Styela clava: one gene and its partners. The main gene of each other region encodes a partner of the protein of the gene in region 3 in a complex. Links are inferred from orthologs where the notes say so. Each region holds a gene or a part of one and is shown on either strand. Other genes may lie near its edges.

The links. The genes of interacting proteins can lie anywhere in the genome.
Region 1: eukaryotic translation initiation factor 3 subunit C-like (region 3) and eukaryotic translation initiation factor 3 subunit I-like share a complex: the UniProt entries of both Caenorhabditis elegans proteins name them as parts of the eukaryotic translation initiation factor 3 (eIF-3) complex. The link is inferred for Styela clava from reciprocal best matches to the Caenorhabditis elegans genes eif-3.C and eif-3.I.
Region 2: eukaryotic translation initiation factor 3 subunit C-like (region 3) and eukaryotic translation initiation factor 3 subunit B-like share a complex: the UniProt entries of both Caenorhabditis elegans proteins name them as parts of the eukaryotic translation initiation factor 3 (eIF-3) complex. The link is inferred for Styela clava from reciprocal best matches to the Caenorhabditis elegans genes eif-3.C and eif-3.B.

The regions. Positions count from the first base shown.
Region 1 is NC_135257.1:18,322,642-18,333,362, reverse strand, and holds the start of eukaryotic translation initiation factor 3 subunit I-like, read left to right. Parts: upstream 1-4,298; 5' UTR 4,299-4,524; coding exon 4,525-4,527; intron 4,528-6,272; coding exon 6,273-6,400; intron 6,401-7,423; coding exon 7,424-7,542; intron 7,543-8,093; coding exon 8,094-8,234; intron 8,235-8,929; coding exon 8,930-9,066; intron 9,067-9,881; coding exon 9,882-9,992; intron 9,993-10,721. Other genes in the region: uncharacterized protein LOC120346396, read left to right, coding at 52-964. UniProt on the Caenorhabditis elegans protein: Component of the eukaryotic translation initiation factor 3 (eIF-3) complex, which is involved in protein synthesis of a specialized repertoire of mRNAs and, together with other initiation factors, stimulates binding of mRNA and methionyl-tRNAi to the 40S ribosome.
Region 2 is NC_135262.1:9,898,533-9,909,253, reverse strand, and holds the start of eukaryotic translation initiation factor 3 subunit B-like, read right to left. Parts: upstream 6,208-10,721; 5' UTR 6,066-6,207; coding exon 5,900-6,065; intron 3,938-5,899; coding exon 3,745-3,937; intron 3,506-3,744; coding exon 3,386-3,505; intron 3,048-3,385; coding exon 2,990-3,047; intron 2,831-2,989; coding exon 2,702-2,830; intron 2,382-2,701; coding exon 2,224-2,381; intron 1,972-2,223; coding exon 1,822-1,971; intron 1,298-1,821; coding exon 1,231-1,297; intron 932-1,230; coding exon 885-931; intron 369-884; coding exon 158-368; intron 1-157. Other genes in the region: uncharacterized protein LOC120333244, read right to left, coding at 8,126-8,239, 8,536-9,363; Golgi pH regulator-like, read right to left, coding at 9,708-10,721. UniProt on the Caenorhabditis elegans protein: RNA-binding component of the eukaryotic translation initiation factor 3 (eIF-3) complex, which is involved in protein synthesis of a specialized repertoire of mRNAs and, together with other initiation factors, stimulates binding of mRNA and methionyl-tRNAi to the 40S ribosome.
Region 3 is NC_135250.1:3,239,720-3,250,440, reverse strand, and holds the start of eukaryotic translation initiation factor 3 subunit C-like, read left to right. Parts: upstream 1-5,896; 5' UTR 5,897-5,985; coding exon 5,986-6,080; intron 6,081-7,114; coding exon 7,115-7,247; intron 7,248-8,108; coding exon 8,109-8,231; intron 8,232-8,511; coding exon 8,512-8,698; intron 8,699-9,035; coding exon 9,036-9,139; intron 9,140-9,809; coding exon 9,810-9,901; intron 9,902-10,721. Other genes in the region: ubiquitin-like modifier-activating enzyme 1, read left to right, coding at 306-3,548. UniProt on the Caenorhabditis elegans protein: Component of the eukaryotic translation initiation factor 3 (eIF-3) complex, which is involved in protein synthesis of a specialized repertoire of mRNAs and, together with other initiation factors, stimulates binding of mRNA and methionyl-tRNAi to the 40S ribosome.

The sequences.
Region 1 (10,721 bases), on a different chromosome or scaffold from region 3:
GGTTTATACATTTTTTTAAAGCAACTTATCAATTTCTAATTTTATTTTCAGATCGACCATACACAACGGCTTACTACGGAGCAATCGTCTTCAAGATTATTCCTACCCTTCCGTCGTAAGCAGCACGCAACAGCTTCTCTGCTTAACTCCTAGTAGGGGTGGAGTTATTACCCTTGGATCAGACGACGATGTGAATAGGGTTGCCAGACTGAACGAGAACAATCCCGTTACATTGCCAGCGAGAAAACCCGCTGATCACGACAACGGAACACCTGTTCCTCTCGCCACTACAATAGTCACAAAAACATCTGGCAACGATAAACAACAACACGGAAGCAACTTTTATAGACTCATGCAAAAGAGCAATTCTCCAAGACCACGCACGTCAACCGCACATGGGCACCCATTTTCACTAGCCAATATACATTACAAACACACTACTCAAATACGTAAACCATACAGATATCCAGCTCTTTCGCCGAGTGCAGTGAATGCAAGAAAAACTGACGGCACGGTTTCTAGAACACCGGTATTCGAGCGCAATGCAACTGCAATGAGCATGGCTAAAAGTCCAGCAAATACTACATTTAAAATCATCGAAAACCACGTCAGATGGAATCGCAGGCTACCGGTATTTAATCCAGATGATGCTCCCAATGTATATCCATACCAGCCATGTTTCACAATACACGATCCCGGAGCTCAATCGCGTAAGATGGCGCCTGTACTTCGGGTTATTCCTGCGTTTCCACAAACTTCGAAGATCCAGCAACAAAGAAGGGTCAAGGTCGCCAAATCACCTGTTGATACAGAGGGTGCGTCACAAAAGAAAGTTCGTTTTACGGACCAATTCGGGCTTCCCCTCGTTCGAAATGCCACACCTAATTACAGGAGAAAACATTCGTACATTTTAAGATGGCTGGAAACTGCAGGCAGACCGGCCAAAACGATTCCTTTAGTGTGATCTGTATATATGTATGATTTCTCACTTTTCCTCGCAGTTTTATTATAGTATAATATCTTTTGATTCGACTTTGCACTTAGTACCGTGTCACCTCGAAAATAATCTGAATTTTAAAATTGATTTCAATATAAGCCCTCCCCTTAAAATAAGACCTAGTTGATGACAAGAAATCTTTCCTACACGTTTTAAATGATTAATATATATATTTGAAAATCTGGTAATTCCCTACTTTGTAATTTTGTTTTATGATAAATGAAAATAACCCCCCCCCCCCCACACCAATTAAAAGAAAGCCTAGTGCTATTTTTTAAACGAAAATTGGAATGAGTCTCTGTCTCATTTTCGGGGAAACACGATGCTTAGTAATGACATGAGGTCAACTGTGACAAAAATTGTACACAACAATTATATTTGATCTGTATAATGCGACCAACAACTTTGCCAATATGAAATTGTGAAGCTGCATCAAAGCATATGCTTAGGAGATTTTCAGATATCAATATCGTATACTGTACCACAAAGTCGTTCTTTTTCCTACAAAGATTTCATTTGATATTCCATACCTTTAATTACTAGAAGTTGGAGACATATTATTAACAATATTTTATTGAGCACTGCGAACAATAGTACGCAATTGTGCCTTTTCTGATTGAAAATTCTATTTAACGGTATTGATTTGTTTAAGTATATATCATGTCTCGAAGGCAGCACGGTCTGTATGTTGAATGGCAACCTTAACATAAAAATATATTAACAAATATCCATTGAATCCTATTTATAATTATATTTGCCTAACTACTTTAAGGTGCGGAGATAAGTATTATAATAAAGCACCCTAGCACTAAAAAAATAATTGTTTCTTGATTGCGTTAATCTTATGAGTCAGGACTGGGAAGTGCTACTATTCCTATGAAAATGTCTAAAGAGTCCTAAAGCAGCTCAGGTCAATACTGTACAATTTAATTCGGAATAATTCTTCATAATGCATTTAAATACCTTTATTGCATAGAATGTTTTGAAAGCTTTGTATTTAATACGGGTATTTGAGTATTCCGGTTTGGAATCTTAACCCTCTCCGGGCCCCTTTATCTTTTAGCAGTGGGAAAATTTGATATTTGGGGAAAGCAATACTTTTAGGTCATATATGATTAATTTTTGAAAATTTTCGACAGTCCGATTCCCTGGGGGATTTACTGGATGTTGCGCTAGTGCAACTTCTGCCCAGAAAGGACTAATTCTAAAATATCACATGTATGTTGTTCAATCTGCAATACCTTATAACATGACCGGTATGTATACCACAATGGTTGAAAATATAAATGGTATTGTCAAACTTATTTCATGGCTCATTTCAAAACTACAATTATGATTAAAAGTCGCAATAAAATGTAAACAAATGTTAATATAGATCATGTTTTTGCACTCTTGGTAGTTTCTCAAGTCAAAATATTTAGAAAATGCATATGAGTTGTCCCTTGACACTTTCATTTACCTATATTTTTTAAATTATTCGAAAACTTTGATTTTCCATATATATCAATGCAAGAATATAGAAAATCAAGCGTTTACATTGAAATAATTTTGCATTTACTTGCTGTAATGTATTTTATCGGAGAAAGAATTTTTAGCGTGAAAGTCATTTTGATTACGCTACGCAGCGAAAAAATAGGAAACCAAATTTTTTGGTAGCAGAAAAATCGTTAGCAATCTGTGTGTTTATTTACAGGTTTACGATTTCGATATTTTTGGACGGTTTGTTTCCTCTTTTTACTTCAGACTCTCGTTTGAATTTATCGACCGACCCTGCCCCCAGTCTAAAAGACGGCCAGTCGTAGTTTTCTGCAGCATTTGTGTTCAGGCCAATTCTATACCAATTAATATAGATTGGTTTATGAGTAGATTGCAACACCTTTATGGTGTTGTCAAAAATTCGGGGCAGAGAAAAACTGTGCTCTCCCGAACATCGAATTAGCTTTTATGTTTATCTGGCTGAACGGCGACGCACTCGGACTTTCAAAACACGACTAAGTTTTAACTCTAGATTCGTTTTTAGATAGCTATTGTCTGTCCACATAAATTCCAACAGTCAAAATGCTGAAATGGTCTGATTTTTTAGGCTCAAAATCTTAGCTACATAAATATCGTTCTGGAAAATTAGGTGTTTTATCAAAATCAGCGTCATCGACATATTCATAATTGTAAGTCTCAATTGCTCCTTTGTCTGAAAGTGTGGCATTAGAAATACGCGCTAATCCAACGCAATTTCTGCAAAAAATCTCCCCTCTGGCATATTTGCAATTGTTCTGCTAGATCGCTGAAAATACAAATTTGAATCAATCTGAGACACTTCTCTATCATTCTAACCCCGTATTTATGGCTAATATACCTCGATTCCATTTGTTTATAAATCTGAATCATAACACTTGTGCATACTTTATGTCACGCCTCCTAAATCTTCTGTTTACAAAAGAATTATCGGAACCCAAATTTTTTCCTATACGGCAAATTCTCATATACTGCATCCTAATGATCCTGATTGTAACTTATGTGACACAGGAAACTCATAAACTACGTTATCTGCTCAATAAGCCAATATAATTGACGAAACTATACAGATGAATCTTAGCTAATTTCACAACCGAAATCCACTTCTGAGGGAAGATGTTGCACCTATGCAACACTAATTTTAAACCACCCCTCATGAAACCACATAAATCGTTCGAGGTTGCAATCGGTTTGTAAAGCCTCTGTAAACACCATTCTTTTACCCCGTGCACAGATATGACGAATTCGGTGTATATTAATTAGTATAGTTGCTTAAAATATGACCATGGTTCACCAGCCTGACACGAGCACCGGAGACCGCATCTTGCTAAAGACGCTTGCAGCGTCATCAGGCAGCGGCAATGCAAAATAGCAGTTGCATCGAACCAACTAATTATCGCAGTAGTACGTTGAGTAGAAAAAAGCATTCTGCGGCAGAAAATGTGCGTCATAGCTAGTTTACAAGATGTTGTTGCATACGTGTTACGCATTCCCGGAGAGGGTCAAACCGGAAAATATATATCAGTTGTAAAACAAAATCGTGGGAGGAGCAAGAATTTCATTGATAATCTATCTCGTGTTTCACTATGTTCTAGAATACAAAATCCATTCAAAAAAGGGTCAAAATATATAAGATTAGTTTTGTGCTACTTGGTGGAATCCCAGTCATAACATTAGTAGTCAATTATCGGAGAGCCATAAATAAATAAATAATTTGCATCGTAACTTCAAATCCATTTTTGCTCAACAGCGCCAACTCGAGTACGCGAATTATTTCGTTGAGATCTAACTCGTGTTTAGCTCAGCTTACTGTTCGCCACATGTTGTCTTCAGCTCTGTGGCTTCTACTATCTGACAGTTCTAGTAATTATACCTACAGTTCAGCAACTGGCCCTTGAGTGCAAGCATTCGAACGGCTTCTATCGCATTTCTCTTTGTCCATAAAGTCGTCTCAGTGTGTTATTGGATTTTATTTCTGAAGATTTTCTAGCGTTTGAAATTAAGTGGACTGGGATATGGTGAGTTTTTATTATTTGTCCATCTTTCTGCCGGCCTGTGCATCATTTTTTGTTTTAGCATACTTTTAAATATCACTGTACTGTTATAGTGCAAATTTTGGGTCAGGTATTATTTAGTACCACATGCACTTCTAGATGGCCTGGCTCCACAATTTTTGCATATGTTAATCCTAACCCCCACCTGACTACGTCACCAAAAAATTCCGTCATTTGGACGTCACAGTGGCGTAATAAGACCCACCAAAGTATGGAGAGGGTCGTCCAAAACGCACAGCTGATCACCCGAAATCGAACAAGCTAGTTCTCTCGTTTTTGCGTCACAACGATCACCATAGAAGAGAGATCGTCGGCGTTAGCGAGTTCGTTATCGGCGGTGCAGATGCCATTTCGGGCGATTGTAATTATACTTTGGCAAGCCATATCACGTGATGGTGACGTCCTAGTGACGTAATTTTTGCATAGCATAGTCAGGTGGGGGTTAGGAATAACAAATGCAAAATTCATTATGCTACGCCCACTGGAAGTACTTGTGGTACCAAACTATACTAGACCCCAAATTTTTTCAATGGCTCAAGTTAATTCCAGTATCAAGTCCATGCTAATAACTGGCTAACTAATCCCATACCCGACCTGGACTGGTAACCGGACGAGAGGCCTAGGTTCGCCATATGATTAACCTTCCTAACCCGCCATTCCCTAGTCAAATTTTTAAAATATTTTTAATTAGCATTTGTCACCTAACCAATATGGCTTGAAAGGCCATTGAAGGCTTGTTTGAATCGTATTATTGTTTTCTATACGCAAGAGGTCGCTAATGGACCGCTCCATGTACGAAATTTTGCGTACGTGAGAAAATTCATCGACGATAGTAAACAAACATTCGAACCTCTCTCCTTTATGGCCGTTGAACCTTACTTATGATAACGGCACTCTCTCGCAAGCGTTATAGCCGTTTTGGTGTTTGTCTTCCTAACAAAATGATATCACAGGCAATGGTGTAGCGCAAATAGCTGCCGAGTAACGAAGCGGTATATTTGTGAAGTCAACGCAGTTCTTGTTTGTTTATTATTGTGCGGGTAATTATTAGTGCGTGTTTACGCGAGGAAAATGGGCGCTCGGCCGCGCAAATTACTTTCTTTCAAGTAATAACGTATTCCTTTGTATGTTTCTTAGCTTTCAAATATTTACAGATATAAAACTCGTAAAATTGGAAATATGCCAAAAAGGAGTGACGCACAACCCGGGTGCAAAAACAATCGGACAAGCCTATATCATGCTTGAAAAAGGCGCGAAAATGTCTTATTGGTTTTGTTTTGAGTGAAGTCCATAATAAGACGTGTACATAAAGAATGTTAACTCTTACTGACCAATCATATTAGAGCCATATTCATATTGTAGTTAGTTCGCATCCCGAAATAACAGGGTTAAGCTGTCTTATTGCCTTATCGGCTTTCTTCTCCTTCAAGATGAATAAGTCAATCTTAAGTGGGTAAACTGGCGCATGTATATTTACATATATTAAACCTTTATAGAGGTTTTGCCAGTTTTCCAATCTTCTGTGTGTTCATTGTTTGTGTTTAGTGTATGATTATTTTTGCGGGAAAATCAAAATATATATACTTATACTACTTATCCTATTCTTCACCTATACATGGTAGCTTCATTCTGAATTCCTAATTGGGCTTAACTAAAGGATATCGCCTTGACTCAACTTGATGTCAAAGTTCTTCTATAATATATTTCAGAAACCTTTAATTCTTCAAGGCCATGAGCGTGCAATCACTCAAATTAAATATAACAGAGAGGGAGATTTATTATTCACAGCAGCAAAAGATGCTTCACCTAACGTCTGGTTCACAATAAATGGTGAAAGGTAACTTGTTTATAAGTTTATTTCGACTCCATAATCAGCAGATGATAGAATAATTGATAAAAATAAAATAAGTAAAACTGATTATAGAATCGGGAGAGCAACCAAAACCTTAGGTAGGGTTTAAAGTGTACAAAATTTAGATGGAAAGGTATTGATAAAAGAAGTAGTTCATGTTTGCTCACCTCATTTAAATATTACATCATTTCGATGACATTTTTTAATCAAGTGTTTGTTACTTGTTTATGTGATGCTTGTTCACATCTTTCGTTTCGAATAAAGTCCCTATGCGGCAGCCACTGATAGCTATCGATATTTAAGAAGCTATTATTTGTGAAGGATCAGAAGCTTTTTGGCATTGCCTGCCTACCCAATTCATTACATTCTCAGTGAGACGGTTGACATGGGGTGAGATGATGTACAACGGTTTGTATACGCTTAGTTTCCTGCATTACTGAGATATTTGCCAGTGCCAGGACAACCCTATCTAAGCCTAAATGTCATATAAATCCAATTGTATTTTATTGCCTGTCTTATGTCACCTTGCGGTCAGATAATGTAAAAGCTTTTGAAATCCAATCTCACCTTGGAACTACATTCATGTGTTTTGAATTGAATTATCAGTTCAGCTAAATTCCACAAGTAGAACAGAATATATCACGACAGTGTGGCACATCGTGCTAAGCCACTGCACCTCTGATTATCCTGCGTGGTCTTGCAGGTTCGAATCCCATGTGGGGTTAGTTATGTGCGAGGATATTGCTAGACTCATCGCTCTTGTAGGGCGGTTCACGCTGTTGGTTGGTTACGGCTTTCTCTGCAATCAAGTCCATTCATTTGAAAACAAATAACTAGCTAACCAATCCCTTAACTGGACTGGTCACCGGACGGGAGCCCATGGTTCGCCATATGATTAATTTGTCTTATCGGCTTTCCTCTCCCCCTGGATAAATATGTAAATCCTATTCAAATTATTAACGATATAATTTTGCCACTCTTGAAATTTCAAATTTTGTTCTATTCTAGGTTAGGATCATATGATGGTCATCGAGGTACAGTCTGGGCAGTTGATGTGAACTGGGATTCAACCAGAGTCCTAACTGGAGCTGCTGACCAGTCGTGTAAATTATGGGATTGTGAAACAGGTATTGAAAATGGTCAATGAGAGAGATGGAGATAAAAATTTTGTCAAACCAGAAAACATAATGGGGCCTATATAAATAAAGAGAAAATAACAGAATCAGAAGTTTTGGTGGTAACGATACAACCATTTACTATCATTCAATACAAATACATAAATTAACACAGGTTCTGTTCCATTACTGGTACTAATTCATATTGAAAAAGGGTGGAAATTTGTTTCTAATGCTTAGCATACTTTCAATATAACTCTGTGCTGAAGAGAAAGTTTTTTTGTAAGTTCGCTCAAAGCACGGTGTTCAAATCTCATTTCAAGTGTGATATTACACACAGCTTTTTTGTGTTTTAAATGATTCTCCATCTGATTTTATTTTAGTTTTAGCACACTTGGTCTGTGTATAGTGTCAGAGTATCAAAAATTGGATAATTCCATCATTGTTTGTTTTAATCTGATGCCTTCTTCTATATTTATCTCTTGAATGGCTAAATTCTTGTCTCTATATCAATTTAGGTTTATCAGATAAAATCAGATTGTAACTATTTTCTTATTTACCAGGTGTCTGTGTGAACACATATCAAACCAAATCATCATGCAGAAGCGCAAATTTCAGTTATTGTGGAAATCTTGTTGCATATACAACAGATAGACAGATGAAGCATGAACCTATGGTATCAGTGCATGATATCAGGCAACCAGGTAGAATTTTTATTTATTAGGCGCTCCAGAAATATGTGTACCAATATAGAGGTAACTAGTTCTGTTTGCCTACTTTACATCAAGTTGTGTAATGGGACTGAAACCTATGGGCAGGGAGTATATTATATTCACTTGGCTAACACAGACAGTCCCCGAACTCGTAATATAACTAAAATAAGGAGGATCGGAATAAAATGATGGCTTAACTCTAACCGGGTACACATACTACAGGAGTACCATGTATTATATTCAGGGTTACCCTTGAAAACAGAACCCAGAATAAGGCTCAGAATAAATTGGGATCTTACTTGAAAACAAAAAGATATTTGATAGAATTAAAACCACAAGCAAACACATTGATACCTTATATGTAAATATAACTAAATAATATAACTAAAATAAGGAGGATCGGAATAAAATTATGGCTTAACTCTAACCGGGTACACATACTACGGGAGTACCATGTATTATATTCAGGGTTACCCTTGAAAACAGAACCCAGAATAAGGCTCAGAATAAATTGGGATCTTGACTTGAAAACAAAAAGATATTTGATAGAATTAAAACCACAAGCAAACACATTGATACATTATATGTAAATTTATCTTTGTCAAAGAGATGAAAATAAATATCTATGCCTATCAATTTTTTCAATCATCCAGTGAGTAATAATAAAAAATATCTATCTTACCCAGCTGATGCCGAACCTACATTACAATTCACAATGGATACCAAATCTATATCAAAACCTATGTGTTCATTATGGGGACCTCTTGATGAATATATTATAACAGGACATGACGATGGAACGTTGGCTCATTGGGATATCAAGGCAAGTTGCTACAGAGATATATTTTTTTTCGTTCCACAGTGATTAATGCTTCAATAATGGGCTCCAGTTCTGGCTTATTATTAGTTCGTTTTTTGATATGACCAGTACTATAAACATAAGTGCAAATTTTAAAATTAATCTGAAATTTAAAACTTATGAATTAATATTGGAAATTGAATTCAGAAATTAAGAGCTTAGAAGGATAGATTTATTTTTATTTGTAGGGAGTGTTAGAAAATGATAAATGTGAGAAATACGGAGGAGGTTAGGAGCCACTGCAGTTTCTAGTAGCTAGGCTCCAGCTCCGACAGAACGTTACATCACCTCAACTCCGCTTCTCTCAAAGATTGAAATGTTCATTTTACAAGCCGATGTACCCATTTAAGAATTGTTTAATACCAGTAGTTTATTAATAGATTATCACTGACAATCATTGAAATATTCAATTTGATATCATAGTTCCCTTTTTGGAAAAGCCGAATCTGAAACAAACCACTTTTTCACAATAATTCGCTTGCCATTTCAAATAAATTTTTCTGCATGCATGTCAGTTATAATTCAAAATTACTGAATTTTCTGAATCTTTGCTAGTACAAAAGGTGTCCGTCAAGTTCCTTTACAATTTCAATTTTGTTATGAAATAAGTTCTCAATATATCATAACCAGATTTGTTGTTTTTAATAAATTGTTCAAGTACTTTTACTTCATTTGATACATCTGTGAGGGCCAAAACAACATATAGTATCGATAAATTCCCTTTTTCAAGACTTTATGGACACCCTATATACGCCTACATTTGAATATCCTTTACACAGACTGGCGAGCAACTTCATTCAATCAAGGAACATACTGCATTGATAAAAGACATGCAGTTCAACACTGATCAAACAATGTTGATTACAGCAAGCAAAGATAAAACTGCCAAAGTAAGTTTGAAATGGGATATCATGGGAGTTTATTATGGATGTATATCGCCAGAGCAGAATCAAATTCGCATATTGTCAAATTTTAAGGTTTTGGGAACACCACATTTTTGCGCGCTTTAGAATTGTGTGTACCAATATGGAGGTAGCTAATTTTGTTAGCCCACTTCACATCAAGTTGTGTCAAGGGACTGAAAACTATGGACATGGGGTATATTCACCTGGCTAACACAGACAATCACCGAACTCGAACTAAAATTAGGAAAATCGAAATAACATTATGCCCTAACCCTAACCTGGTACACATAATACGGGAGTACCCATCCAAGTATGCTTATGCAGATGGCACATTTTAGTTATATTATGAGTTCCGACACTGTCTGTGTTAACCAAGTTAATATACCCCTTGTCTATAGGTTTCAGTCCCTTTACACAACTTGATGATGTGAAGTAGGCAAACAAAATTAGTTACCTCCATATTGGTACATATACTTCTGGAGCGCCCAAAAATAGACATAAGGGCTAAGGCGCTACCTGAAATCAAAACTATAACTGGTACAACTTTGAAACCCAGGCAAGAAGATGTCCCCTGGTCCATAATGACAGATTCAAAAAAGTCCATTTATGAAAAATATGACATAAGCTACTTTGATTTCACTCGGATGATAACCAAGGTCACATTTTCAGGTTTTTAGAAAATCACATTTTTGGAGTTTTCATATAAATGCAGCC
Region 2 (10,721 bases), on a different chromosome or scaffold from region 3:
AATACTATTCATAGTGTTACCAAATATGTTATTAATCATCGAAATTGTGTATCAAACGAGGTGAAAAAATATTAAACTGCCTTTACCAAGATTGGGTTAAAATTCAAATGAATTCAAAATAGTCAAAAGGAAGAAATATAAATCACAACCATAATACCTTTTTGGTTTTGTTATACCGATCAACCTTCACACATAGGAACTTCCCATGTTTGTGCCAATGCAATCTGATGTCAGACACGTTAAACAGATTTTTGACTCGAAGTTCTTGACGTGATGGAATGGCAAGAATCGTAACACGAGCAGGAATTTCATTTCTTTCTGGAACCCAGAAAGCAAGTTTGTTTTCCGCTGGCGACCACGAAAATTCTCTGAAAACAAAAAACGCAATTCTAGGAAATTTGGAAAAACATTTCAAGACATAATTTTCAATTAAACAGCAAGTCAGATAAATTATTAAATTATGATCCAACAATGAAATGATGGGGCGAAAAGGTAAATTGAAAACCAACAATAACACAAAATTCCTTCTTTGTATAAGCAGAAAATGATTGAAGCCTCCAAACATATTAGCATTAAGCAATAGCATTAGATTTACCTACTGATAGCAATATCTATTCTCAGAAGCTATTATTTAATCCTGCCTCGAACAGATCCTCCTTAGCAACAATTAACCAGAGTTTCTCAAACTGGGTCCTTCAGCCCCAGGGGGCCACAGAGCAGATCCCTGTGGACCACAAACATAGGTCTTCACTATGTACCATTTGCAATGCATACGTTATTTCAAGACTTTTTGTTGATCCTTTTTATCAATAATTGTCAAGCATAAGATAAGTGATGGAAACACCTTATAAGCAAACCATCGTAGATATTTTCATTGCACTCACTTGATGTCTTCTATCTTCAAGCTTTTTTTATCGAGCAGTCCAAACGACTAAACAAATAAAATGTGAAAACAAAATTAATGGCACTAGTCTTTACGCATTCACTATTAATAATGGGCTACTTTAATCTAGTGATTTGGGTTATTTCTCCATTTTATCTATGTGTTAAAAGTGAAAAATGTGAAAACAAAACTAATGACACTGATCTTTCCGCATTCACTATCAATAATTGGGTACTTTAATCTGGTTATTTGGGTTATTTCTTTAATTTGGCTTTGTGTTAAAATTTATCCATTTTTCATTTTCATATTTATGAAATGACACTATAAAATAACAACAAAAATCTTACTGGAGTTTCATAAACACTCAAAACTCCGCTAGATTTCCTGGCAAAAAATTTTCCACTGTTACTCCATCTGTAAAAAATAACAAAGTTGAATACCTGCTTTAGCAAAAATCTGGACATTGTTGGTAATTTTAGGGTACTCCTGTAGTGTGTGTACCAGGTAAGGGTTAGGCCATAATTTACTAGGATTTTCCTTTTCTAAGTTCTATTACGAGTTCGGGGACTGTCCGTGTTAGCCAAGGGAATATAACCACTACCCATAGTTTTCAGTACCTTTACACAACTTGATGTAAAGTAGGCGAATAAAATTAGTTACCTCCATATTGGTATGCAATCTTCTGGAGCGCCAATTTTGTAGTTCCCAAACTCATTTGTGTAAATCAATCTTATAATTTTTCTCCAATCAAAAGAGAAATGAAAATAAAAACCATATGTGCTACGGTCAATGTTGCACGTTTGAGAGCTATAACAGTCACACATAGTTAAATTGTAACGTTTTGTCTTGATGAAATCTGCCTTTGTATGAAAGTTAAAAAAATTTACGGAGTTTAAAAAACTAGGGCAAAAACACTATATCCAGTGAATAAAACCCACTTGAAAATTGGCCATTGCCTGTCTTCTTCTCCAGACATATCCGCATGGAAAGCTCTTTTCCTTGCACCAGTAAAAATATCCCATATAACAATAGCTTGTGGTTCTTCGGTAGTACGACCAGCTTGCATTGGACTGAAGGTTACCAAATACCTAGAAACAAATTTGCGAGATGGAAATTCTATGATAATTTACAGATGGAAAACAGCTTGCGACGTCCAGATAAGAATTTTCCAAGAAAAAAAAAAACTTTCACAAAAATTTTTTTGTCTGGCGTGTACACTGACTGTAGATGAGTGTGGTGTGTTCACAGTCGACAGAAAACTGAAAGCACATCGAAGATCTTTAACCTAAATAATATAAGTCTTAATAAAGAAGACTCTGTTTTACAGCATACGATCTCACCTCTCACATGGAGAAAAATCGATAAGATGAACTCCTTGATGAGCAAAACGCTGAATCTGTTTGAAATTTTCGCCTCCCCAAAGTGCGATGCCTTTTTGATGAAAAGTAGCGAGGTATGTTCCTTGTGGTGACCAACGAGTATATGTCTCAGTCCATCTCTAAAAATATAATATCCTGATTAATATATTGATTATTTATTTCATATGACGCTTATTTGTGCCACTGATAATTAATGACATGTAAATAGATGCTGTTGTTGGGATGTCGAAAATCATTTCGATCCGGCATCACTCACCTCCCAATTCTGGGTAAGGTGGTGGGCATGAGATTTGAATTCGAAAACTAATTTTTCAATGGAAGTTCTGAATAATGAACAGGAGAAACTTGAAAGAGAGGATTGAAAGTAATTAAGCACACAAATTAATTTTATCAACAAAACGTTTATTGCTCAGAGTTAGCCTTTATTAAAATTTCAAACCTTTCTTTCTTCGAGTAATGCTGGTTCAGTATGAGTGTTTAAAAATATTGCTGTTTTATCTCCTCCCTCATATATGATACTGAACTGATCGTTGCAATCCTCTTCTTCAAGATAATAATGGAGATTTCCCTGAAGAAAAATAACACACAAAATTGAGTGAGCAATTTCAAGGTATGGAAACATCAAATTTTATATGGAAACAGACAAAGTCTATACTCACGAAAAGGAGAATACGGAGATGGAAAATATATCATCAAGTTCAACAAACAGTGATAAATAAAATCATACCATATCTTTAAATTCTTGTTTTTCTGCTGATTTTTGAGTAACTTCAATGTTGTCAAACCTGAAATTTTCAAGGCATAACATATCAGACCAATAGATATCACATTTTATACATTATCAACGTCGAGAAGGTCACTTTTCGAGATCACAGTAGGTACAGATAAAACATAGTTAACATCCAAAATAGTTTTCAAAATCAACGTTCAGCATAAATTTGGCTCTAAAAAATCGAAATTATTCAGAACACCATAAACCATTTTCCGTTTAAGACCTGTAACATAAATGTTGCTGCAATTTCAACTAGAACGCTGGTTCAATGACATCACTGTGAAAAATTTAGACACATAAATTTCGCCTCAAAATTTTCTAGTGTAATTTGAAACAAATGGAATAACATACTTTTCTATATCATTAAATAAATTAACTTTGAATGTATGAGCTTTGTCAAGCTTGTATCCATCAGCCTTTTTCACTGCTTCTAATGCATCCTCGGGTCTAGTGTATTCAATAAATATGTATCTGAACAAAGAAAATGATGAATTTCATTCAATAAAATGAGAGGGATGAAGAGAGCATGCAAGAATGAAAACGACCAAGATCAAAATTAATTAAAAATAATTTGAATACATTAAAATGATCGCAACAGCTTTTACCTATTCATATCATAAGCCTATTTATGATGTCTTCTTTTAATAATAAAAAATGTATATAATTAAGAACTTCAAAGTTTGCTTAAAATCAACATAGCGATTACTTACCCTTTTGTTTGTCCATTCTGTTGTGGAAAATGTTCGGACTGGATTGGTCCAAACTTGGAGAAAATTTTTGTTAAAACAGACTTGAGTTTTTCAAGTCTACTTTCACCAACGACAGGTATATTGTCAACAACAATTACAGATTCACATCCATCTGCTTCTTTTGGCTCCTTTCTCAGAATGTCTCCCAGTAATTCTGAATATATAAGTTGTATATAAATAATATATGCTCAATTTTATAAAAAAGTATATAATATATATGTATAATATATTCTAAGAGGTATTCCAACGAGATACATCAAATTTGTCTTTACTGTCAGTTTTGGTAGCATCAACACAGCAGATAGGTTATCAGAGCTAGGCTGCAAATTTGTTGTTTGATCCCAAATAGATCATTTCAGTGATTCATTTCAAGTGTGCATAGGAAGTTAACCTCTGAATGTTGCAGCTTAAAAATAAGTTGATCGCAAAGTGGATAAACCATCCCGTAAATTCAAATATTTTTAAAAAGATACCATGGACACAGGCCATCAGAAGACGTTGGATTGTTTGACATTTTAAAATAAATTCCAAAATTTATAATATTGAAAAATAGGATAGGATTTACATATTTATCCCGGGGGCTGGAGGGAGAGGGAGCTGAGGGCCTCCGGTTATCATTCCATGTCAGGTATGAGATTAGTTATTTGTTTTCGATAGCATGGCTTAGATGGTGGAGGAAGCCATAACCAACCAGCAGTACGTGAACCACCCTACGGCGGCGAGGAGTCCAGCAATCCTCTTGCACATAACTATCTCCTAGATGTCAATACAGCACACTATCCGAATTCCAAGAATTTTCCTCCATTTGGTTCAATAAAACAAACACTCCATGTCTCTCACAAAAGAGGGGCGTCTGGCACGACGACGGTGAAATTTCCCATAGTTCCGTCATTCCTGCATTTTAGTTTTGGCAATTTCCTGTGGTTCTCGCATTTCAGTGCATTTCCCGTTTCCCGCATTTTAGGGTTGCCCACACAGCCACGCCATATGACAATAAAAAAGAACAGTGTAAACATTCTGCAGTTCTATCAGAAACTTTCATGCAGTTGCAGAGTTCCCTGAATTAGAGTGGGAGTGGTGACTCTTCTACGACGTATGGGCCGGGGCCACGACCCATCGAATTGGGAATCGGCCCATCAAGTTGTGTAAAGGGACTATTCACTTGGCTAACACAGTCAGTCCCCGAACTCATATTAGAACTATAATGTAAAAAATATGAACAAAATTTTGTAATAACCCTAACCTGGTACACATACTACAGGAGTATTCTATCCTGTTGCTTGGTATTTTGCTTTATTTTTATTTTTATATAAAGGCCCATCGTAAGAAAAAAATTTGGAGTCTCGTGAAGTACACGCCGCAAGCACTTGTAATTGGCCTGGCTCAACAATTTTTGCATATGTCATTCCTAACCCTCACTGACTACGTCATCCAAAAATTACATCACTGCATAGTCGCAGTGACGTAATAAGGCCCTCCAAAGTAAACGTGTGGTCGTGCAGACAATCATCCGAAATTGTGCAATCTACTCTCTCGTTTTCTCGCCGTAACGATAACGATAAGAGAGAGATCGCTGGGGTTAGTGAGTTCATTATAGTCGGCACAGATGACATTTAGAACGATTGTAGTTATAATTTAGCAAGCTCTATGTCGCGATTGTTACGTCGCAGTGATGTAATTTTTGGGTGACGTACTTAGGTGAGGGTTAGGAATATTGTATGCAAAAATCGTTATGCTACGCCCGGTAGAAGTACTTGACGGCGTGTACTTCACCAGACCCAAAATTTGGTAGCATCTCACAATTTTTTTCGGTTCGAATATTGACAATTTTGTAAAAATTGCAAATTTTGGTAAGATAATTGAACTTTTCCTGATGGGCCCATGTCAGCATGTGGCCAAATTAGATGGACCGTGGCCCCGGCCCATAGAAAAGTCACCACTCCTGTGGCTGAATTACCAAGTCTGCAAGTTAACGTGTTGCAGAAACCTGACTGCTTGAGTTAATTTAACTGCATTCTGGCATTAGCAAATGAAAAAAAAGCAGTAAATACTGAAATAAAGCACATTCTGACATTATCAAAACCCCCAAATTGTGCAATAAGGATCACTCCCATACCTTCATCGCTGATATCCTCTTCATAATCCTCTGGATCGCTGAAGTCTGGCTCTTTCTCAAAGTCGTTTGACAATCCATCCCCATTTTGATTTTTCTGTCCTCTCTTCCTTCCTTTAACATCTTCCCACTGCTCTTCCTCGTCCATTTCATTTATATTACGCGTCATTACACATTACAAACTTCCTAATGAGAATTTATGAATAATATTGCGAAAACACGGCAATGAAACTAGAAATCAAAGATCCACCCACAAAAGCAGCCACGCAGCATGAGAATATCTGACAAGAAACACATGCTCCTGGACTCAGAAATTTAGCGCCCTCTGGCGCAAAACTGAGATGAGCGCCAAATATTCCTTTTGTGATAAATATTCTGACCGTTTTGTGTTTACGTATTAGTTCTCAAGACGACAAAGCAGCCAATTAATTTCATGCTATTTTTATGTCTCAAATAAGGGAAAAACTATCAATCTGTATGAACTTGGTTCAATCCCTGGACAAATCTGGCAAGGACTGTCTGTCCGTATAAGGACCGAAGAACCCAGATGCGAAAGCATGCGAATCAGATTTGCAAAAAGTAGCTTTTTTTATGCATCGTTCACATACTTTGGAACTCGGGATCTTTTACATAATAGTGGGTATGGGGAACTAACTCTGATGACCCAATTAGATGACCGCATGGTCGTATCACTCCCCAGCAACTTTGAGTGTTTTTCAATGTTTCAATGCTTGTTTTCTGGTTGACGAAACAATAACCCTTACTCTATTAATCTTTTCTATGCTACTGTAACAGATTCAAAAATATTTCTACGAATATATTTATATCCATAAAAACTGGAATCGAGAATGTTCAGATGAAGTAGCATTGACTACAGGGTATCTAGTGATTTCAGGTTTCGATTCAAAATACATTTAGGAAACCACCGATTTCTGTACTTTCAAATGTTGAGGACCCTCAGTTTTTCAGCCTCTGTTGTTTTTTGTCTTCCTTTTATCTACCGTTAAGGAGGATTTCATTATAAACTCACCTAAACGAAGTCAAATACAACGCGCTAGTCCTATATCATTAGAAAAGATTCTTCGAGGAGTGATTTTCTGTACTGTTTTTAAAAACAGTAGAGGCTGTTTCGATAAATAGTGGGATAACCAATAGGCTACTGAAAAACGAGTTCGATTCAAACAAAATGGCACATATGGATTGTTCAATCAAAACTAAGTAATTATATTACTTTCAACCAACGACTAACGCTTCCAACAAACAAACAAAAAATATATATATATACTAAAAATGTTCGGACCTCCTGAAGTATGCGCACCAAGATGGCGCACAACCTGAACTCAGGTTGTGTACCAAGTTAGAGTTCAGGTTATGCGACATCTTGGTGCGCGTACATCAGGAGTACCAACTGTTCGTTATTGATTTGCCAAACTCCGCTTGCCACGCAAATGCGGATTTTTCATTTATCTCACGTGATACGCATATATGTATGTAATCCGATGTGTTTCAACCATTAGTCAATTCTCATATGACATACGATTTTTTACGATAACATAAAGATCTAACTTGTTTGTCCATTATATAAACGAGTTGTTAGTGTTATAAATACAGATGCGCAAAACCCAAAATTCCCACATTCTTATTACCATCGGCTATTCTCCTCCCATATTTTATACGCGAGCTAGTAATATTATTTTGCAAAAATATTTTTTTAAAAACAAGTTGTGTGCTATATTTGAAACGTCTAGGGTTAACACTGCCCAACAGTTGTGTCAAAGCGTCCATCACAAAACCAGCAGTTTGGTCACAACATAAAACCCTCATTTTATAATATTTGAAAACTTATTCAAAATTGCATAACACCAAAAATAAGGCAAAATAACTACAACAAAAGATACAATACTCGTGAAAACATGGAGATGTAGTAAAGTAAGAATATTTATATATATACTAAGCTATAAAATATATTTAACTTTGCCACTAAACCAATAATGTTTGCATCATTATCTAAATCTGGAAAGATATAGAAATATTTGAGGCATAAAGAACTAAAATGATCTTTCAATTTCATGGGGTATTTTCATTTCACATAATATGTATAGGCAGACATTATCTTGTGAATGCGTCCAGTTTGCTACACATATAACATATTCTATCTGTGATTGCAATGGACGAATTACATGTTTGTGCAAGACCCTCTGTGTCAACAGTAAAAACAGTGGAATTTCCTTATAATTTTTCGCAGTCTAGAAAACATTCATTCTCTTCATCCTGTTCAATCACCAATTCTATCCTAGGAATCTTGGAGCCTGCACATTTATCTTGATCAAACATATCTTCATTCTGAGAACAGAAGCAGTTATGAATAAAAAAAAAAAGTGAAACAAAATTAACATTAAGTCTTTCTGCTACTTGGATGTGGCTCATATAGAAATATAAGATTCATATTACCAAGCAATGAAACAATATTAACATTAAGTTTTTCTGCTACTTGAATGTGGCTCATATAGAAATATAAGATTCACATTATCAAGCTATACGGCAAGCACGCAATAATTTGTGTTATTGACAAGAGCGAAGCTATACATTATCAAAGGCGGCCATTCTACATAAATTCTGTTACAATGCTCACTGCTCACCTGGCATATTTCGTCATTGGACGATCTTTTAACTTTTGTTTTGGATTTATTCGAAAAGCTTCTCTTGATTCTAGATAAAAACTGTTTCCGTAAATTTGGATTAGTTATTTGGTCTCTCAAAACAGGATATTGATCCATTGCTAATGTGACAGCATGAGAAATCCTTGTATCATGTGCATCTTTAATACCAATTGCTTCAACTATATCTAATACAGTGTCTTTGTATGGACGTTCAGCACTGGTCAACCATCGACCAGAAGCTAAAGTCCCAACTTCAGGATACAATTTGTAAAGATCACTTAAATATGCTTCCATATTACCAAACTTGAGCTGATCTTTGTTGCGTTGTTTGTTTGCGGTAATAGCCGATTTTACACGCCGTCGAATTATATGCTGCACGTTAAATTCATGTATGTATTGTCGCAATGCTGTGAACATGTCCAAAACAAGCAACACAATATCCTCGATTCTAAAATCTTGTAAATCATGGATTCCAATTTCTTTCACCAAAGAGTTTATAGTTTTAGTCAATATGCTATAATCACTTGATTTACCACCTTGGACCTTTTCTAACATATTGAAAGCATTTGCAGGGTCCGCTGTGGGTTTTACTTTCTCCAAAACTTCAGAGTAGCGAGAACGAAGCTTTTCTATATTAGCATCAGTCAATTCTTTTATATCCTTTTCCTTGGCCTCTTCATCAATATTATTATTCTCATTTATGTAGTCCGAAGTAAGAAAACGTAATGTTCCTTCATCATTGATTATTTGTAACGCAGCATTGTCGCCTTCAATGAAATTCAATTCATCATTTTCAGATTCAATCATAGCTTCGGTTCACTCTCATCTTATATACTCACAATATTGAGAAACATTATGCTATCTTTAAAAGAAAAGAACATGAAAACAAATCATTTCAGACATGCTTTACAAAAATCATGGAAGAATTTACATGTCTGCGCTAATACATTTGCATTAACTTATAATTATGAATTCTACTTTTTATTGTTACTTTGTTAGTATATCCATATTATGGCAGTATATTCCACTGGTATACTGTTTTATTAAAATCTACTTAGGCCATAATCCTCAAAAGATAAACTTAGACCTTCAATACTAATGTTTAAATTCAATCTAATTCTTTCTTACAAGCAAAACACAGTTCTGTAAGATCAGTCATTAAATGATAATGATAGTTTGACATCTTGAACTATATGTTTTTCAGGAGCTTGCTTATGCGCAAGATACAAAAATCCTATACTGCTAAGGGCACTAATAAGAAAAATAACATCAAACCACCTATGATAGAATTGAAATTGGAGTTCCCCCAAAACCTGAGTTATGATTTCTCGATATGAAGCAGGCATATTCATTCTCATTAGTAAAACAGAAGAAACAAAATACATTCCCATGATTTGAGCAAGCCCCATAACAATCACATTTGAAGATTTACTGCTCGAAATCGCATAGAAAAACTTTGTAAGGGTTATAAGAAGACCCCTAATTGATGTGACTATCATAATACCAACTAATATAAAAGAAACGTGTTGACTCCAGAATGACACGTCGACATCAAAGCCGAGATAATGAACTAATATTTCAAATCCCTTCGTTATTGGGTCCTTTTTACCAACTCTGTTAAAAATAATATTAATAATACACATGAATATTTTCCACATGCAATACAGAGAGAAGAAGTAACCTAAAACATTGAAGTACATTCCCTTGAAAGTTTTTGAATATTTAATCCGTTCCTTCGTGGCATGTAAATCAACAGTTTCTAGAAACAGCTGTCTGCTTAATTCTTCATGAGCAATTACTTCTTGTTGAAGTAACGAAACGTTTTCGTTTCCAGGTGAAGAAATTGGAGAAGCCACATTACGAATTCGTGCCCAAATTCCACTTTGTGGAACATTTTCATTAGCATTTCTTGAAGAATTATGATACTTTGCGATTGCAATCCTTTTTTTCTTGCTTATTACCATTTCATTCGTTTGCATCAACTTTCGTTCAATAAGCTGAATATCAGAATCTGTGACTTGACGAAGGAAATAGGAAGAGTACGTATATGGGCAATTAACAGCACCAAACCCGGATAGTAATGCCATCACAGTGACACCAATAACACCAACTCTGCTTATTACTTGTTCAATTGACAAAATACCATGCTGAGCACTCAGAATTGG
Region 3 (10,721 bases):
CAAAATACTTGAAACTACAAGAAGCTGGGTCAATCACTAAGTTAAGTCTCCCTGGAGATTAGTCTCAATTTTCCACTTGAGCCATTTCTAGTCCAATTCAAATCTATTAAATTTCTAGAGCCCCCACCCCAAAACTGCTAAATACTGACTTTATATATTCACCGTTTCAAAGGTCGGTTTACTCATAAATTAGTTGATTATTTGCTTTAGCCTAATTAATATTTTGGCAGAAAATTTTTCATTTTCTACAAAAAAGCAAGAAAAATTTGAGGGGGATTTGTGTAGCGGCAAAATTCGAAGCCTTCATGTCATCTGACGGTTTCAACGATAAAAAATCTTCAGCTAACGACAACAATATAACAAACTCTCCTCCAAAAAAGTTTCGAAAAGTTGACGACACGACGGGATCAATTTGTACAAGAGAATCAGTGATAGTAGCTGTAACACCCGGAATGGCTCAAAACGGAACAAAAATGGCGGAAGACTCGATCGATGAGGGGTTGTATTCACGACAGTTGTACGTACTCGGTCACGAAGCAATGAAACGGATGGGAGCTTCTAATATTTTCATAAGCGGCATGAAGGGACTTGGAGTGGAGATTGCAAAGAATGTAGTTCTTGCTGGTGTGAAGTCTGTTACTATTCATGATGATGGCGTTACTGTTTTATCTGATCTCAGTTCGCAGTATTTTTTGACTGAGCAAGATGTTGGGAGAAGCAGAGCCGAGGTTTCGGTTGGAAAAATTACCGAGTTAAATTCCTATGTTCCAGTCAAAGTTCACTCTGGAGATTTAACCGATGAAATCTTGAAAAAATTTCAAGTTGTTGTTCTTACAAATTCAAACCTAGAAGAACAGCTCAGAATTGGGGATTTCTGCCACAACAACGGTATTCGCTTCATTGTTGCGGATACTAAAGGTCTTTTTGGTCAAATCTTTTGTGATTTTGGTGAGAAATTCGTCGTTTTTGACAATAATGGGGAACAGGTTAGATCGGTTATGGTATCAGCTGTCACACAGAATGAAAAAGGGGAAGGTATTGTGGCTTGTATGGACGAGACTAGACATGGATTCGAAAGTGGTGACCACGTTTCTTTTACAGAAGTCAAAGGAATGGTTGAACTTAACGGATGTCAACCAAGGGAAATAAAGGTCCTTGGACCTTATACTTTCACTATAGGCAATGTCAGCAATTTGACTAAATATGAAAGTGGGGGAATCTGTACTCAAGTTAAAATGCCTACCCCTGTCAATTTTAAATCTCTCAGAGAAGCTATGGCAGAACCGGAGCAAGTAATTACTGATTTTGCAAAATGGGAACGTCCTGGCCAATTACACGTTGCTTTCCATGCTTTACATAAGTTTGTCGCTGACAAAAATAGTTTACCAAGAGCTCAGAATAAAGAGGATGCTGATACTTTGGTACGAATCACGGAAGAGTTGAATTCGACGCTACCAGATGGTGCCAAAGTGGAAAAAGTTGATGAGAAGTTAGTACGACAACTTGCATATGGTGCACGAGGTGATCTTTGCCCTATGCAGGCAGTAATTGGCAGTATCACTGCACAGGAAGTAATGAAAGCGTGTAGCGGAAAATTTAACCCAATTAAGCAGTTCTTGTATTTTGATGCTCTTGAGTGCCTCCCAGAGGATGGGGAGGAAAAATTGGATGAGGGATCTTGTACAGCCATTGGTGATCGATATGACGCTCAAATCGCAGTTTTTGGAAAAGATTTTCAAAAAACCGTTGGTCAACAGAAATATTTTGTTGTTGGCGCTGGTGCCATAGGCTGCGAACTTCTCAAAAATTTTGCTATGATGGGTCTTGGATGTGGAGAAGGAGGGAATATCACTGTAACAGACATGGACATTATTGAGAAATCAAATCTTAATCGCCAGTTTCTGTTCAGACCATGGGATGTTCAGAAACTCAAGTCTGAATGTGCAGCCGCTTCTGTCAAGAAAATGAACCCCCAGGTTAACATCATTGCTCATCAGAATAGAGTTGGACCAGAAACTGAAAAAGTTTACAACGATTCTTTCTTCGAAGGTCTCGATGGTGTCACAAATGCTTTGGACAACATTGATGCAAGAATTTATATGGATCGAAGATGTGTGTATTACCGTAAGCCTCTGCTTGAATCTGGTACGCTCGGGACTAAAGGAAATGTCCAAGTTGTTCTGCCTTTTCTCACAGAGTCTTATTCTTCCTCACAGGATCCCCCTGAAAAGTCTATCCCAATTTGCACGTTGAAAAATTTCCCGAATGCGATTGAACATACTTTGCAATGGGCACGTGATGAATTTGAAGGGATTTTCAAACAACCAGCTGAGACCGCTAATCAATTTCTTACTGATGCAAAGTTTTTTGAACGAACCGAGAAACTGCCTGGAATGGAACCTATTGTTACATTGGAGTCTGTTTTTTCCTCTCTTGTCTCGCAATATCCGAAATCTTTCGTTGATTGCGTGAAATGGGCTCGTACGAGATTCCAGGAGCAGTATTATAACAATATTGCGCAATTACTACATAACTTTCCACCAGACCAAAAAACAACATCTGGTGCTATGTTTTGGTCAGGACCTAAGAGATGTCCCCATCCTCTTGAATTTGACGTGAATAACGAAACCCATTTTGAATATGTTTATTCCGCTGCTCAACTAAAAGCTGAGATGTATGGGATCAAGGAAAGAGCCAGCAAAGCTGCAGTTGCAAAGGAAATTTTACCGACTATTAATGTTCCAAGATTTCAACCGAAATCGAATGTTAAAATTGCTGTGACAGATTCTGAAGCACAGGCACAATCTCAAGACTCATCTTGGGACGATAGCAAATTTGATTCAATGAAATCGTCTTTCCCAGATCGTGACTCGTTTGGGAAATTGAGACTCGTCCCGATTGAGTTTGAAAAAGATGACGACACCAACTTCCACATGGATTTCATCGTAGCAGCGTCAAATCTGAGAGCGGAAAATTATGAAATCGCTCCCGCAGATAGATTGAAAAGCAAGCTTATTGCTGGTAAAATTATTCCGGCAATTGCAACGACAACTTCTCTTGTTGTAGGATTAGTTTGCCTTGAATTGTACAAGATAATACAAGGTCACAAAAAAATGGAATCTTTTAAAAATGGATTCGTGAATCTAGCATTGCCATTTTTCGGATTTTCAGAACCGCTACCTGCACCAAAACTGAAGTATTACGACACCGAGTGGTCACTGTGGGATCGTTTTGAAATTGACGGAATCAAATTAGCAAAGGAGGGAGAATCAGAAATGACACTGGGTGGTTTTATGGAATATTTCCAAAAGGAATATAATCTAGAAATTACGATGTTGTCTCAGAACGTAGCGATGCTCTATTCCTTCTTTATGCAACAAAGTAAAAGAAAGGAGCGTCTGGCTACAAAATTAAGTGAAGTTGTTCAGAAAGTTTCGAAGAAAAAGTTACGTTCTCATGAAAAAGCACTTGTTCTGGAGATCTGCTGTAACGATAAGACTGGAGAGGATGTCGAAGTACCCTACGTTCGATACGTCTTTCGTCATTAACTTGACAGACATTTGAAAAACTTTGCTGCATGTAGTCTATGTATTTTTTCTTATTAGGTAACTCAATAACCAGAGACGTTGAAACTACAAATATATTGTAGTTGTATAGTTAATTGTACAGGCCAATCTAGCAAATTATAACCCTTTTTAAGTGGTTCAAAATGATTGAGATAAATGCATCTTACCATTAAAAATCATCCTTTTGAGAAAAATGATATATGGGAACACTTTATTTTTCTGGGTTTTTGTCGAGTCTTGCCCGGCTAAAAACTAAATGCATTGATTTGAAAGGCTACTATATTCCCAGTAGATATTTTTACTTTGCTTAATAGGGCAATTTATTGTGCTTTCTGTTTCTCATATTTTTGTGTGAATTTTCTTTGTTATTAATTGAGAATAGGCAACTAAATTGTAAGTTGTTATTTTTCATTTCAAGTGTTGTAATTAACTTAATCTTTGATGAAGATGAAAACTCTTGAGAAGGGAGCAGTAGTTGATTGGGGTACCACTCTAATCGACCACTCAATTTGTACGATTCTTATTTCAACGTGTGAATCTTTCCTGCAAATGAGACACCAGATAAGTCTTGACTTCAATTTATATTCAACTATTATCTTTGCCTGAGGATAGATAACCATGACTTGTAGCTAGACCTCTTACCATCAATGCTTTTTATATGTTGAAAGTGATTCAAGATTTTCCACCAATATCATTGAATTATTTACCCAATATAAATGCAAATGAAATCCTAATTGCATAAAAAGTGAGAAATAATACCATTATACAAATGACTAAGAATTTTTTATTCTATTTCCCTGAATATCTCAAATCTGACAAAAACAAAAAGCCATGAAATCCTAGTTATCTGGAAAATAGCATGGTGTCCAGAATATTGCTTCAAAATTTGATGTCTATTTTCGTGGATAGAGCTCGAACCTGACTAAAAGACAATGTGCTCTAGTTTTCAGTATCTACTTTAAATGTTTCTTCATGTCCAATGTTCCGTTTTTTTGTTCTGCTGTCCTATGAAGTTTCTAAATAGTTGAAAATCTTCACAATTTCTTGGCTGGCGATAAGTTTTCCTCAACATTGTACCGTTTTGTGGACTGTTTTTTTCTATACTCTTGAAATTGTAGAGGGTTTCTGCCGTTTCTCATTTAGACTGTAATTAGGGAAGTCTAAATTCTAATAGTTTGACAGGGTACTGTTCTGATTTGAAATTCAGTTTGAACATGAATTTTCTATACAGATTTAAACTGTATCACTTAAGTTATATATGACATGAAATGCCATTTAAATAATATGTTTGAATTGAAAACTGCATGTTCAGCAAAGTCAGGTATTTGAGTAAATTCCAAATTAACTAACTTGTATTGAATTCTAGATTCAACCACACTACAACATAAGGTCTATCGCTGGATTTTGAATCCCCAATGAATATGATTTATTTTTAACCCTGTCCCTAACCATAACTTGGGTAGGTAACGTGTTGCTAGACCTCAAGCTATCATTTATAATTCATAATATAAGTTGTTAATTTTGAATTTATTCAAATACTTGATAGTTTTGTACAACCTTGTCTGTTATGGTAACGAAAAATTGTTCAGTCTAAATATCAAGTTCATTATTTGTGTATATTTTCCTAAAGTTCTTTTCATTCTGGGCAATGTAAAAATCTTGGCGAGTTATCATTATTTTCATATTCCACTTTGGGCTCGACATGTTAAAGTTCAAATATTATTTTTTGCTTCATTTAACTCAATTAATATGAGTTTGTCAAACTGTATATTTTCACCTTGCTTGTATTGTATAACTAGACAATGACTTTTGAAAAACATATCGATATTATCATTAGGATAACAGTTCAGTATCATTCGTTATTCGAGTCTTATTATTGACCTCGTTGAAAATTACAATCTTTTATTATATTGATTAGACAGACCAGGAGAATATTGCTTGCTTTTTTCCACAAGTCGACTTTTAATGAAACTATAGGTCTTTCTTTAATTTTGAAAACCTATACACTTTATAATTTAGATGTTTAAAAATTCGTTTCAACTTATTAAACTTCTGTTGCTACTCATTAACATGACCAATATTTCAATTTGACAATTATCTACAATAGAACATCAATAAACATGATTTAAAATTTCAAGATACGTTTTTACAAAGAAACATAGTCAAATCTTGTTAATGTATATACCATGAGCATTCATATTATCAAAATAGGCATAGAATTACAGTTTACCATTCTAGAATTTTGGGATGATATTGATATGTTTTTCATTGTCTACACTTTTCACATGTCTCATTAAAGTGTTGTCTTAATTCGCCACATTGTTTTTTTTGCAATAGATTGTTGCTATTTCCAGTTAGAATTTTGGCCAAAATAACACAATTTTTGTGATCTTGTGGCTGCATTTTTCAAGAAGAAAATATGTCTCGTTTTTTCGGAGCATCGAGCTCCGATACTGATGAGTCCTCAAGTGATGATGGAATGGCGCCTGCACCACAGAGACCACAGTCAACTAGGTATAGTGGAATTCGTTATTAAAGTTTTATATACCACCATTACTATTTACATTTTTATATAGTGATTTGCCACCTTCATCCTGAGCAAGGCTCTGTATAAGCAGCCACTGATACGGGTATTTTGGAATGACACATGCAATCCTTTTTTACTTATCTGTTTCAAATGTTTAGTGAACTTAACGCTTTTGGGGTTTGTCACAAAATTCAGTTATCCCCATTAGAAGTATGAAATTCAGAAGAATCAGAACTCTCAATTCTGAAAATTTCATAAGCGTGACCCCCAAACAATTCCAATGTTACCCGCAAATAGTTTGTTGTATGCAAGCCTTTTTTAATTATAGACTGAGAATCCTTATGTTAATACTTTTTGTGATCTACCAAAAATGTTTGGTACTCCCGAAGTATGTCAACCAAGATGGCGGACACAGGAGCGTAGTATGTGTACCAGGTTAGGGTTAGGCCATAATTTCAGGTACAAACACTACAAGGGAGTTACTTGGCTAGTCCCCGAACTCATAATAGAACTAAAATAAAGAAAATTGGAATAAAATTATGGCCTAACATAACCTGGTACACATAGTACGCTCTAGTGTCCGCCATCCTGGTTTACATACTTTATGAGTACCAAATTTATACCTCAAATTATCACCATTAATTGTCTATAACTCATACTCTAACAAAAAAGAATTCAAATTCCTGTATCTAACCCCTTTGACTTGGAAATGCAACTCTCACTCAAATAACAATAAAGACGTTCCAACTGAGAGTCAGACTACACTATTCTGGTTTAAATTCAAATGGACAGCGGAATGTAGTATGTGTATCAGGTTAGGGTTAGGCAATAATTTTGTTTCAATTTTTTTTCATTTTAGTTCTATACTAGTTCGGGGACTAGCCAAGTGGTATTTGTACGTGAAATTATGGCCTGACCTAGTTCACATACTACGTTCCGGTGTCCGCCATCTTGTTTACATGCTTCGGAAGTATCTTTACTTTTGCTTTTCACTGACTCATAATGTTTTTACTTTTCCTAGAGTTTTTCTGATGAGTGATGATGAAGAAGATCAGAAGAGAGTTGTGCGAAGTGCGAAAGAAAAATCTTGGGAAGGCCTCGAAAATTTGATCAAATCAATGAGAAATGCAAGAAAGATCAACGACATGGTCAAGGTATTTCAATTTTTAACATTTTATGAAACATTTTCTATTTTTTTGTTATGAATAAAGCTGATATAAATATGCACAAACGGTAAGCAGTAAACGATACAGAATATTATATAGATATTAGAAACATTGCTTAACTGATTATTTATTTTCACCTGCTGCGTTTGGTTTAGTACTGTGTCACAAATTATGTTTCTCATCTCGTGTTCTTTATTGAAGCTCAGCAACTTTGTGTCAATTTCATATTATTGGTGGACATAGTGCGTCTTAGAGGGGTTGAGTTTGCTTTACTTCACTGAAAAAGTGTGACTTTGCTTTGAGTAAATTATAAAACAAACAAAAATGTGGCTGTATTTGCTAAATAGCGCATGCTCACAAAAAAGTCACTGGTATGTAAGGTGCTACACACTATTTTTGAAATTGCCAGAATCTTGCGTCCCTGCATGCCTACCCGATTCTTTCCGTGAGGTCATGAGTATGAATTCAAGATGTTAATAACCTGCGAGGTAGTTTATTTAAGTCACTCTCACTACTAGGTCACAAGTTGTGTTTAGTAATTACTTATCGATTTTAATCGGTAAGTATGTTGATAGGTATTTGTCTGTTTGTCTGTCTGTTAGATGCGGGCGATATCTCACGAAAGCGAGATTGAATCTGCTCCAGATTTTGCATGTGCATTCATCATATGCCGGACCAGAAGCCTATTGATTTTGGATGAATTATGTTGTATAATTAACGAGTTATTAATTAATTAGTGATAGGACACAAGCTGTCACTATGGAGTAATAGCGCTGTTTTGGGGGATCCCCTAACTTTCGATCAATAAGTCTTCAGTCTTTGACCGATATTCTTGTTTTCTTTTTTCAGGTTCTGGATGATTTTGACAATCTCTGCAAACAATATGTGAAAGCAAAAAATGTGATTGCAAAAGAAGGAATTCCTCCTTTCTACATCAGGAATTTGGTTGAAACTGAGGACCATATCAATGAGGTTTGATTCGTTTATTTATATTTTTATATTCATCTCTGAGGAGAGGAAAGCCAATAAGACAGCTTAATCATGTGACGAATTCTGTATTGGATTAAAGCCACTGTATTGTCATTCCCCACAAAATTCGAACCTGTAAACACACACAGGATAATCAGTGTTGCAATGACATACTTAGCATAATATACCACATTTCAAGTATATAAATGGCTGGAGCGCCGGCATTTCTTCATTCACAAAGATGCAATATTATTATTCGCACCAAATTCTTCTCTTTTACCAGCTATGGGAAGACAAGGAGGCTCGTAAGAAGATGAGTAAAGTCAACTCAAAATCATTAAGTACAATGAGACAGAAATACCGTCGTTACATTCGGGATTTCGAGAAGGAAATGAAGGAATATAGGGAAAACCCAGATGCTGTTGAACATCATAAAGAAGAGGAACCTTCAGAGCCAGAAAGTTCTGATGGTAAGTCTGGGCCAAACAGGAATCGCAACAGTAGGGTATTATGTTGGTAGTCGTGGTACTTCAACTATGGTAATTTAATTTGTATTCCAAAATATTAACAATATGTGTACCTATACAACATTAACTTTTTAAACGTGTACTCAATAAACATAATTAAAATGTAAAAAAAATTTCCAATTGCTGTACATTTCAGCAAATATCTGTGGGTTCCAGGGGATTCGTTCGTGTGCGATGACATCATCGAAAAGTGTGCACATAGTGATGGTTCTGCTTTTGCATTAGTCTTGAAGTTTGTTGTAAAATATATGACAAATATGTACTTTGCCATGTTTTTTAGATGAAGTCCAACCCACTGGATTCCTGAAAGCCCCTGCCAAGGCAGCAACTAGTTGGTTGAAGAAAGAACCAAAAGGAGGAGATGATGATGATGATGACAGTGATGTAAGTTTTTGGGGAATGGTCGCTAAATCCTGGCACAGAAATTAAATGTTATGGCGGAACAAAGTCTTAAGTTTTCATCTTAAAATGTATTTAAAAATTAATTATTAAACGTTACGCCTAAATATAAAGAAACACAATCATAAATAAGCCTTGAAACGACATACTCACTTTAAGTATAAATATAAAATCACATCTTTGTGTTGAATGCTACGATAATTGTTATTATCGGTCTTGATTGTGTATTCTTGGCAACAAATAAATTGATATCAGGTCTAAATGACCAGCTCTGTTTATGAATGATGCAATCAAGACTCTCAAAAACCGCCTCCTTTGAAACTCCCCCTCCCAATCCCCCCCCCCCCCCCCCCTTGTTGACCAGTGCACAATTTAGCAATTGATATTATTCTGTATCTTTTAATGGGTCAATTCTTCAAACTGCTTTCTAATTGCCCAACCTTTAATTGCCCGTTTTTACTAATTAATTAGTGTCTGCTCTGCACTTTCCTTAATTAAATTGCTAGCCGCTCAGCAAGTGACAGCTTTGTGAATCGCATTTTTCGTTTTGCACAATCTAGCTGTTATGGCTTAGGGTATGATAATAGGCGCAGGGGTAATAATGAAATAAAACAATTGTTTTATCCTTCCTTATTAATCATGATCTCCCATTTAGATCTGGATGAGTTCTTCTGAGGATGAGTCTTCTGATTCTGACGCTGAAACTGGTGGAAGGCAACTCACTGCTGAGTATTTCTTGAAAAAAAAGTAAGTTGTAGGAAATATCAGTCAATCTCATCATTTTAAATTTCCATTTTCAAAATGTTTCAAAATTATTAAAAAGTCTATGTAAGTCTATTTCATTCAACAAAATAACAGGTTTTTAGAAGCTAATTTATCATCATTTTTGTGGCTTTTTTACATTTTATCAGGCAAGGTTTTGTCCAAGCAGCCACTAATATATAAAGAGCTAACTTTTTTTGTAGAGATTGTTAATGCCATTGCTTGCCTAAACTATTATGTGAGGTGCTCATCAAGTTGTTTTTGTTAATTCGGTAAAAACGTTCAATTAGAAAATCACAATAAACATAACCAAAGTAATAACTCTCAAGATACACCAACAGGAATGAGCTCTCAAGCACAGAAAGCACATGGCTACTTCACCTTCACAGCTTGGTCATGATCATTCATCTGAAAATGATGACATCACAGGTCATGCTTAGCCATCTGGGAAAATACTAGTTGACAGAAATACAATAAAGTTTTATTTTACTGTTCCAGGGGGCTCGTATCTTGAGCTTTTTGCGGTATTCTGTCTCAAAATTCACTATAGTACTCTCCAAGTATCGGGGAATACTTGTGTAGATCATTGGGTACTCCCGTAGTATGTGTACCAGGTTTTTACCATAGTTTTATTCTAATTTTCTTTATTTTAGTTGTATTACAAGTTCGGGGACTGTCTGTGTTAGCCAAGTGAATATGCCCTGCCCATAGGTTTCAGTCCCTTTACACAACTTGATGTAAAGTAGGCGAACAAAACTAGTTGCCTTCATATTGGTACACACACTTCTGGAGCACCGATCATTGT